3 linked regions of the Macaca mulatta genome follow. The protein of the gene in region 2 purifies or fractionates together with the protein of the main gene of each other region. This does not show direct contact. Links are inferred from orthologs where the notes say so. Each region holds a gene or a part of one and is shown on either strand. Other genes may lie near its edges.

Region 1 (2,354 bases), on a different chromosome or scaffold from region 2:
CTACCTGGTTACTCCGGGCCCACAAGCAGCCGTCCAACAACCCTCTCAACTTGCCCAGCTCAGAACTTCAGCAGCTGCAGTCTTTTAACTATCTACACTTTCTTCTCTCCTTTTAAGGCACAAACATATTTACAGTTTCAAATACACCTGTCAAGATCTGAGAACCATACGAAGCAAGTTAATCACAGGCTAGTGCACAGAAGCCGGTTGGTCCTTTTTGGCTGTACGCATCACTGAGGGACAGCGTTGGGTCTGAAGCAACCAGAAGGTGTGGGCCTTCTCTTGTGCCACTGTGGGATGTTGTCAAGTCTATGCCCCACCGTCAAGGTGGGGGTCACAGGAGAAGCCAAAGTGGCAAAAGCATGACCAGGATTGGGGACAATTCATATTTTTTTACTTTGCATTGAACATATTCCTAAAAAGACAGCAGCTTGCCTGCCTGAGCCAACTCTCAGAAAGAAGAGCAAGGTGGAGGCTGCCCTGAAGCATCCACAACCTCATGTAAAGTCACCACAACCTCATGTAAAGTCACTGTGATCATAGTTTGTTCATATTGTCTTACCTTCCCACAAAGACAGACACACACATGCACACACACTAACACGCGCACACACACCCCCTTCCACCATGGAGGAAATCTCTGCAACAAGAGGCACTTGAATGATATTTGGAGAGTTCCCGTGAAAAGGCCTTCCCCTCACAGTGAAGTGGGATCGACAGAACAGAAACCAGGTGCTCAGGACTCCATCTCTTCTTGGTCGAGGGGCGGTGGCACAAAGCTGACGACTTCATCATAGGTCAGGCCTAGACATCGGGAAGGAAAAGTAAGACGTGAGAGTTTAGGCTGTTCTCTTTGCTGGCGAGCACTCTGACTTCACTCAAGATCCTTCCTCCCTGTCCAGGTAGTGGTATGATGGGCTACCTCACAGCTGGTATGTAATATTCTAATGGAGCACGTTATCACACAGAAGTTCGAGGGACATAGAAAAGAACCTTTTTTTTTCCTCATGTTTTTCATTGCTGAATGCCTCTTAAGTTCTCTACGGAGGTGCTCAAGAATGAAAGAGCACTCTCACAAGCTACGGCAACAGATGGTCTTGGCTCTTTGGATTTAACTGGAGTTCTGAACTTGTGTTTTATGGAAAGAATATGGGACTGGACACAGGATACACGGGTTCCATTCCTGGCTATGTCCCTAACTAGTTCTAAGTTAACTGGTAAGACATAAATTCTCTTTGCCCCAGTTCTACTAACTGTAAAACTGTAAAAATATCCTATTCTTTACTTAGCTCAGAGAGATGTTGTAAATGCAATAACTCTGAAAACCTCAAATCTCCATGCAAAGCTCCTATATGTGAGGGGCTGTGCATAAAATCAGACCAGATGTTAAGTATCTCAAAGGTCCAGAGAGTATCACTGTCTACAACACTTTCCACCAGAGAACATATTCATTCTGCATTACAGACCTCAACTACAAGCTTTAGCAAGTTGGTTATGACCATTCAGTTTTTATTTTCCCACCGCTTTCGGTTAGTGGTACAAGATGTTAATCCTACCCTTAGGACTTACTTTTCCACTCATCTATAAGGAGGTCCCTGCTTTCAAAGGACTGATCATAAGGATCGGCCACTGGTTCATCATCAGGATCGTGGTACTGAGCAAAGTAGGCATGTGCAAGGGCTTGGGCTGCTGTAATTCTCTTATCTGAGTCCAATACAAGCATCTTCTCCAGCAAGTCGACAGCTATCAGTACCATAGACAGGAAGGAAAATAGTTTTTAATATGTTACAAAAAAGTATGCCTTATTAAGCAAACATAGTTTTGACCCTTCATATCCAAACAAGGAATTCTCCTCCAAAAATACCTACTCTAGGATATACTGGCCCTTTTCTCCTTTACGTGTGTGTGTGTATCTGTATTTTGTATGTTTAAAATGTTTTATTTTATTTTTGATTCGGGGGTACGCGTGCACATTTGTCACATGGGTCTCACGGATGGGGACTGGGCTTCCAGTGTGCCCAATAACCAAATAGTGAACATTGTGCCCAACAGGTTATTTCTCAACCCTCACCCTCCTCCTGTATTTTGTATTTTTAAAGAACATGTTACTAAAGAAGAATTTTTTTAAATGACTAGGATTGTGTTTGAACAGGCTTTTGTGGAACGTCAATGTCAAACTGCTACCAGTGTAGTCAAACTGTATAAAAACAAAAGCCTACAGCTACAGTAATCTAGAATAGGTAGGCAGGACTGTTTTTTGTGTGTTTGTTGTTGTTGTTTTTTGTCCCCCTTCGCTGTTTATTTACTAACATAAGACAAATAAATATTCATCAAACAGATCTTCAAACAGTGAA
Region 2 (4,130 bases):
GGGGACAAGAATAGAGCAGGAGTGTCCAGGATGGCTCAGGATCTCAGTCCACATGCAGATTCCCTGGGCCCCTTGGGAGAAGCTACTCTGAGCCCAGGCCTTACAAGGGAAATTACTGGGCTGCAGCTGCTGTTGGGACCTGTGGAGCCCACAAGGGATAAGTGTTTGGCCAACAGGAAGGGGCCTGGGTGCGACCTGAATGTCTACTTGCTCTAGCCTTGGCTTCTCTGGCACGTCTGTTGGAATTGGTGACCTGCCAGCCACTGTGCCTTCCTTGGAAGCCTTCCACACCTGTCCTTGAGGCTCCACACCTGGCCCAGAGCATCTGTCAGGGCCAGGGCTGAGGCTGTGTGAGAATCCTGCAGAATGTTCCCAGTTTGGCTTTACAAATTTGGACTCGTTCCAAACTCCCAGTCTCCACAAGGGGCTCCAGTGAGCAGAAAGGCCAAGCTCTCTGTGTGCTCATGCTGGGGAGGGGCACAAAGACCCAGGTACATGAAGGCAGGCAGTAGAGGGGAGTGGCAAATCACACAGACCCAGGTGGTTAGTTTTGCTCAAAATGCTCCGTTTATTGCTCTATTCAATGACCACGAGCGAATTATAAAAAGACACCAAATGTCTCTGTCTGCCGTGGGATAAATATTTAAAGTCAGCAATAAAAACACGTGGCTCCAAGATAACACACGTTGCCAGAGTCATGCATGCCCTCCTGGTGGGCTCTCAACACACGCATGGACATGGGAACACACGCAGAGCGACACGCAGTGAGACTTCTGGGAAGGCTTTCCCACAGTGACACGAAAAATGTCTCACATAGATCTGGGGCTGAGTCCCCACCCAAACCTTGAGCTCCCCTCCCCTCCCCAACAGGGCCCAGATCCTCTGGGTTCTCCACGCCCCATCTGCCCCCTTCCTCGCCAGTGCCTCACAGGCTGGGCACCCTCCTGAGGGCATCTGACACCCAGAGGCCACCCTGGCTGTGATGCCCACTCCAACCTAGAGACCTCTCCCTCAGCTGGAACTCTGGTAGCCCTCCGGAGCTCCCCATGCCTAACTCCCAGTCATCTGCCTTTTGGGAGAAGTGCGGGTGAGGCCAAGGCAGGCAAGTCCGCCCAGGTTGCTTAGGGGCTGGAGCTCATCACCCCTTCCTGGCCGAGGAGACACAGTGTCCGGTACAGACAGCAGAGATGGACGGACAGACAGAACACACCGCAGCAGGACACAGAGTGTGGCACGGAAACGTTCTGGATCAGGTACTGATGGGACCATCGTTAAAAACTGGGGCCCGGGGTCTGTGTGGTGTGGATCAGGCCCTGGGGCCCCAGGCCCGACCTGGCATGTCCCTCCCCGACCCTGCCCCCACTCCTCAATATGTACAGTAGGAAGAGCAATGCTGGAGGGTAGGGGCCAGGCCAGGCTGACAGAGAGGACAGAGGGAGCTGACTGAAGGGGAGGAAGCGGGGAGCAGGCCCAGGACCCAAGGCGGGGCCCTGGGTGAGGGCCGAGACTCAGGCTGGGCAGTGCCCAGAGAACCTTGCAGGAGAAGCGCAGTCATTCTGGGGACTGGTGGGACAGCTGCTTTTCGTAGAGGCTCATGACGTGGTGCACAAACTGGTACTGCTCGCATGTCTGGATCATGCCGCCCCTGCCCGGCAGAGATGCACAGTGGGGGCAGGGTCATGGAAGGATGGGCTGTGGGAGGGTGCCTCAAAAGCCACGGAGTAGCCATCACTTGCCAGGCCTTGTCCTTGTGCATCTCGGAGAGACCAACCCTTGCCAACCATTACCCTCTGCCCCTTCCTATCAGGGACACAGATGACATGTCCTACCGCTTTCAGCCTCTCAGCCTCTGTCCTTTTGTCCAGCAGCTCTGCTTTTCTTCCCTCTTCATCCGGCCCCCCACCGTCTGGATCCTGCCTCTCTACCCAGCTGTTCTCGCTACTCCTTGTTTGCCCATCAGTCCATGCCAGTGTTTTCCATCTGCCCCTCGCCCCCCAATGCACATGTGGGTCTCTCCCTCTACCCCCTCGAGGCTCTAGCTCCCCTGTGTGCCCAGCCCCCACCCATGGGCTGACCTGTCCTGACGGAGCTGGCACGTGGTCTTCAGGATGTCCACCACACCCTCCTGCCGCAGCTGCTGGCAGCAGATGCTGGTGGCAATGAAGCAGCCGGTCCTCCCAATCCCTGCACTGAGGGCCGAGGGGACCGGTGGGGTGAGGGGCAGGGCAGCCCAGCAGGTGGGGGGCTGCCCCGCTCCAGTGGCTGGCTGGGAGGACCCACCTGCAGTGGACGATGATGGGGGCACAGTGGGGCCCCTCCTGCTGGGTTGCCTCCTCCACCTCCCGCACCAGGTGCAGGAGTGGGGGGGCCCGGTCTGGGGTCTTCTGGTCGGGCCAGGATGTGAACCAGTAATGCTTCAGGCCTCGCTCCTCAGTCCCACTCTGTCGAGGAGACAGAGGCCCACCCCGGGTATGTGTGAACTCCTTCAGCTCACAAACCAGCCCAGAGATAGAGATGGGATGGGAGGAAGAAGAACACAGGAAGCACACAGAGAGTGGAACCCCTTAACCCTTCCATCTAGGCCATATTGCCCAGTGGCACCAGACAGAGACCCAAAGCCAGCTCAGTTTTGGGGGTTGGTCAGTGGTGTTGGCGTGGATCTTGTCTTTGGTCCTGCCCCAACGACTTCAGGATCGTCCAAGAGGGGCCAAGAGCCCCTTCTCCAATTTATTACTGTCTCCGGGGCTCCTTATCTTAACAAATGGTCCCCCAGTCATCCCTTTGTCACATAACCCAGCCCCAGGACTCTTCTCCTCCTCTTGCTTTGCCTCGCCTGCGTGACTCACCTCTATCTTAGTGCTGCAATTGGTGCTGTAAGTTTTACCACCTCTTCACACTCCCCGCTTCACTGCCACCTTGACCTTTATCATTGCTTGAGTGTGGGAGATTTCTGCCTCATTCCCAACTGTCTCAGATCCACAGAGTCAAAATAGTCTGTGTACAACACACTTCTGGACATGCTGCTCTCCTGCTGCAAACGCATGGCTTTGGACTGAATGTGTGTGTCCCCCTAAGTTCACATGTTGTAACCAAACCCCAATATGGTGGTATTTGAAGGGAAGGCCTCTGAGGTGATTAAGTCATGAGAACGGAGCCCTCACAAATGGGATCAGTGCTCTTACAAAAGGGGCCTCAATGATCTTGCACTCCTTCTGCCATGTGAGGACATGACCCTGGAAGTGGGTCCTCACCAGGGTCATGGTGCCTTGATCTTGGACTTCCCAGCCTCCAGAACTGTGAAAAATAAACCTGTTGCTTACAAGCTCCCTGGTCTATGGTATTTTGTTATAGCAGCCTGAGCAGACCACAACATCCTTCAATGTCTCTCACTGCTCTCAGAATAAGACCTACTCTTCTCAGTCCTTCGCCTGGCTAGGAAGACAACTGCTACAGGGCCTGCCCTTCCAGACACACCTCCTGCTCCTGTGTACTTGTACTCAATGCTCCCACACTCCGAAAGGTTTGTAGGTAAAATCTCAGCAGCACATGCAAACACATGTGCACACAAGTGTTCCATCTTCCATGTCCTTTGTTTTATTTTTTTCTCACTGGGAATGCTCTCCTGACTTGTTTGCCCCGGTCAACTCTTACTTATCCTTCAAGACCCCATTCGGCACCACCACTTACAGGAGGCCCTCCCTGAGCACATTAGCTGACAGAGTGTCCTTCTTTTATACATATATACACACACACACACCCCTATATATATATATATATTTATATTTTATATATATTATGTATTTCATATATTTATATTATATTTTATATATACACATATGATATAGATCCTATATTCATCCAATTTAACATATGATATACATATCCTATATTCTATATACCTATCTCTAGCTCAGTACTGACCATCTTATACATGCTTCTCGAGGAAAGAGTCCAAGCTTTGAGAAGCTCTGTGTTCACAGTACCCAACCCAGAACCAAGCTCAGGCCAGGTATTTGTAATGTCTTATGGACAAAAGTAAATTCCCTCAAACTCCAAGAAGACCCGGTTTTTCCCTCATCATCTCCATGGCATTGAGAAGGTGAGCAGCCCTGCCTCATCTCAGCCTGTCT
Region 3 (3,631 bases), on a different chromosome or scaffold from region 2:
AAGCTCCCAGAAGCATCACTTTGCCTGTCTCCTCCAGCTGCTGCTGGGCTCCCGTACCCTCCATGGCACCCAGGGTTTATCCCACACCCGTCCTCATGTCTCTCAAACCTTTGGAGTCTGACTTGGGGAAAAGCTTGGCCCAAGCCACCTTGGTCTTGGAGGGCAGAGACTGTAGGTAGTTTCGGGCCTTCATGTTGATGATACAATTCAGGTCCTCCTGGGATGGGGAGCCCAGGATGCCTGTGGATAAGGAGGTGACTTGGTAAATGATCACCTCCTTCTTTCTGGGAACAGAACAGGCAACAAGGCAAGAACAAGACCCCCAGCCCAGCAACCCATGCCAATCCCTCAGTTACCTCCTAGTCATTAGCAAGGTGGTGCAGAGCAAGGGGGCTGGATTCAGGCAGACCGAGGCTCAAATCCTAGGTCTGGTGCCTCCTTAGGTGTGGGACTTAGACTTGCTTTTCCCATCTATCCAATGGGGATAATATCTATACCTCATTGAGATACCATGAGATGCTGGAGGCGCCCCACACGTGGTGGTATCCCTGACTTGGACTCTTGAGAAATCTCACCTTGGAGAAGGTAATCATCCCCCACTCAGCCAGCCGGGCCTCCCTCACCCAGAATGTGGTTGAGCTGATCCAGGTAGTGCTTGCCAGGGAAGATGGGCCGGTTAGAGAGCATCTCAGCCAGAATGCAGCCCACAGACCAGATGTCGATGGACTTGGTATAGCCCTGGGAGAGAGGAGGAAGTGGTGGGCTCCTGGGCCAGCCTCAACAGGGTCCTGTTTCTACACCAAGCCACCATCTCCAAGTTAGATCCAACACCAGGCAGAAGGCAGAGGCCTGGAGGGCTCAATGCTCAGCTTCCTTGCAGAGCCCAAGGCCCAGAGGGTGGAATTCCTGTGTCATGGGGGTCGGTGTCTGGCTCGGAGGTAGCTCCAGGGCTTCCTGGGACCTGGTCCCTTCCCTTCAGGAGTGGGCAGCCCCTCCTACCTTGGAGTTCAGCATGATCTCTGGGGCCCGGTACCAGCGTGTAGCCACATACTCCGTCAGGAAGCCGGTGTGGTCATGCTCAGGATCGGCAATCCGGGCCAGGCCGAAATCGCAAATCTGGAATCAGACCAAGCTGCTAAGCTCAGTGCTCAAGGCCTCTGCAGCTTAAGCAGTCACGCCCCCTTGTCTTTGCCTCCACTGTTCCCCTTGCTTGCAATGTTCTCCTGCCCAAGGCTTCTACTGGTCACCTGGAAGCCCCAGACCCTGGGGGAAGAGGGGACAGGTGCCCAACCCTCTGACCTTAAGGTCGCAGGTGGTGTTGATGAGCAGGTTGGAGGGCTTTAGATCCCGGTGGAGCACATTAGCGGAGTGGATGTACTTGAGGCCCCGCAGGATCTGGTAGAGGAAGTAGCAGATGTGGTCATTGCTCAGTTGCTGGCTTTTCAGCAACTTGTACAGGTCAGTCTCCATCAGGTCCTGCACAATGTAGCTGAGGATGGTTCCGGAGACCCCCGGGGAGGGGGCAGCGGGAGGCACTTGGTTAAGGAAAACAGGCTCTGAAGGCGAGGCTGCACATCTCCTCCAGCCAGGGCCCCTGGGACTCAATAGATCTGCCAACCTGCACCACCAGCTGGGCAAGCTGCTGCCGTTACCCAGCGGCAGGGCTCTGAGCCTCTGTCGCGTCACAGTTGCTGATCCTGAGCAAGGGGCTTCACTTCTGTGGCCTCAGTTTCCCTACCGGGGAAACAGGGATAATAATAAACTGTGGGAGGCCGGAGAACTTCACAGTTAAGAGCAGCAACTTGGGCCAGGAGTGGTGGGTCATGCCTGTAATCCCAGCACTTTGGGAGGCTGAGGCGGGAGGATCGCTTGAGGCCAGGAGTTTGAGACCACCAGCCTGGGCAACATGGCAAAACTCTGTCTCTACTGGTAATACCAAAATTAACTGGGGACAGTGGCATGTGCCTGTAATCCCAGCTACTCGGGAGGCTGCAACACGAGAATCACTTGAACCCGGGAGACAGATGTAGTGAGCCGAGATCATGTCACTGTACTCCAGCCTGGATGATAGAGTGAGACTCTGTTTCAAAAATAAATAAATAAATTAATTAAAAAAAGAAAACTACAAAAAGAGCAGCAACTCTGGACTTAACCCATGGAAGTCTGAAATCTCCTCTCTACTACTTACTGGCTTTAGGAGCTCAACCTGTCTGTGCCTCAACTTTCTCATCTGGTATGTAGGGGAAATAATGTGTTTTTTGTTTGTTTGTTTTCTTTTTATTTTATTTATTTATTTTTTTGAGACGGAGTCTCGCTCTGTCACCCAGGCTGGAGTGCAGTGGCCGGATCTCAGATCACTGCAAGCTCCGCCTCCCGGGTTCACGCCATTCCCCTGCCTCAGCCTCCCGAGTAGCTGGGACTACAGGCGCCCGCCACCTTGCCCGGCTAAGTTTTTTGTATTTTTAGTAGAGACGGGGTTTCACCGTGTTAGCCAGGATGGTCTCGATCTCCTGACCTTGTGATCCGCCCGTCTCGGCCTCCCAAAGTGCTGGGATTACAGGCTTGAGCCACCGCGCCCGGCCTGTTTGTTTTCTTTTTGTGGAGACGGGCTATTGCTATGTTGCCCAGGCAGGTCTTGAACTCATGGGTTCAAGTGTTCCTTCCACCTCGGCCTCCCAAAGTGCTGGAAATTACAGGTGCGAGCCATGAAATAATGGTTCTTTTGAGGGTGGTTGTGAAGACTAGATGAGATGGCGCATGTAAAACTGTCAGCCCAGTGCTAGGCAAGTTGTGAGTGCTAGGCAAACATGAACTATTATTACTAATATCAATGCCTGAGTCACATGGCTGTTGAGGGAGTTAAATGAGATAATGTATGAACACCATCTGGCATGCAATAAATGTTTGCTTAAAAATAAATGCCTGCCTTATGGGAATGGTTTGCGCAAGAAAAATGAGGAGACACTCCCAATAGCACACTCCCACTCAAAGAAGAGTGCTTGGCCATACCTCAGAAGATGGAGGAGTAAAATGTCTTTTTCTATTTGAAGATAAAACAAAGCTTATGCGTAAATAAATAAATAAATCCACAAATGCCGTTTGGCTTGTCTCTGGAAAAATAAGTCAGGGCTGTCTTTTAGAATCTGCCTTGAGGCCAGGTGCAGTGGCTCACACCTGTAATCCCAGCACTTCAGGAGGCCAAGATGGGTTGAAGACCTGAGGTCAGGGGTTCGAGGCCAGCCTGGCCAACAGGGCAAAACCCTGTCTCTACTGAAAATACAAAAATTATCTGGGCGTGGTGGCGGGCGCCTGTAGTCCCAGCTACTTGGAAGGCTGAGGCAGGAGAATAGCTTGAACCTGGGAGGTGGAGGTTGCCGTGAGCTGAGATCCAGCCACTGCACTCCAGCCTGGGTGACAGAGGGAGACTCCATCTCAAAAAGGAAAAAAAAGAAAATAAGAATCTGCCTTGAAAGGGTCTTCAGAGGATATGTGGACCAGCCCTGCTGTTTTAGAGCTGGGGAGGCCCAGTGAGACGCAGTGACTTGCTTCAGACCACACAGCGAGATGGGGGTGAGCACAGAGATTTCCTGTCCACAGTTTGTGGTGGGGGCTGCAGACACCGCAATACAAA

What was found.
Region 1: the proteins of PTPN5 (region 2) and MAPK14 purify together in Homo sapiens (affinity purification with mass spectrometry; 3 studies listed by BioGRID and IntAct, with this or other methods). This does not show direct contact. The link is inferred for Macaca mulatta from reciprocal best matches to the Homo sapiens genes PTPN5 and MAPK14.
Region 3: the proteins of PTPN5 (region 2) and MAPK3 purify together in Homo sapiens (affinity purification with mass spectrometry; 4 studies listed by BioGRID and IntAct, with this or other methods). This does not show direct contact. The link is inferred for Macaca mulatta from reciprocal best matches to the Homo sapiens genes PTPN5 and MAPK3.

Annotation. Positions count from the first base shown.
Region 1 is NC_133409.1:146,147,135-146,149,488, forward strand, and holds part of MAPK14 (mitogen-activated protein kinase 14), read right to left. Parts: intron 2,214-2,354; exon of another isoform or gene 1,744-2,213; coding exon 1,570-1,743; exon of another isoform or gene 805-1,569; coding exon 737-804; 3' UTR 1-736. UniProt on the Homo sapiens protein: Serine/threonine kinase which acts as an essential component of the MAP kinase signal transduction pathway.
Region 2 is NC_133419.1:46,658,240-46,662,369, reverse strand, and holds the end of PTPN5 (tyrosine-protein phosphatase non-receptor type 5), read right to left. Parts: intron 2,442-4,130; coding exon 2,281-2,441; intron 2,190-2,280; coding exon 2,076-2,189; intron 1,646-2,075; coding exon 1,552-1,645; 3' UTR 545-1,551; downstream 1-544. UniProt on the Homo sapiens protein: May regulate the activity of several effector molecules involved in synaptic plasticity and neuronal cell survival, including MAPKs, Src family kinases and NMDA receptors.
Region 3 is NC_133425.1:28,441,201-28,444,831, reverse strand, and holds part of MAPK3 (mitogen-activated protein kinase 3), read right to left. Parts: intron 1,490-3,631; coding exon 1,300-1,489; intron 1,117-1,299; coding exon 1,000-1,116; intron 739-999; coding exon 624-738; intron 241-623; coding exon 109-240; intron 1-108.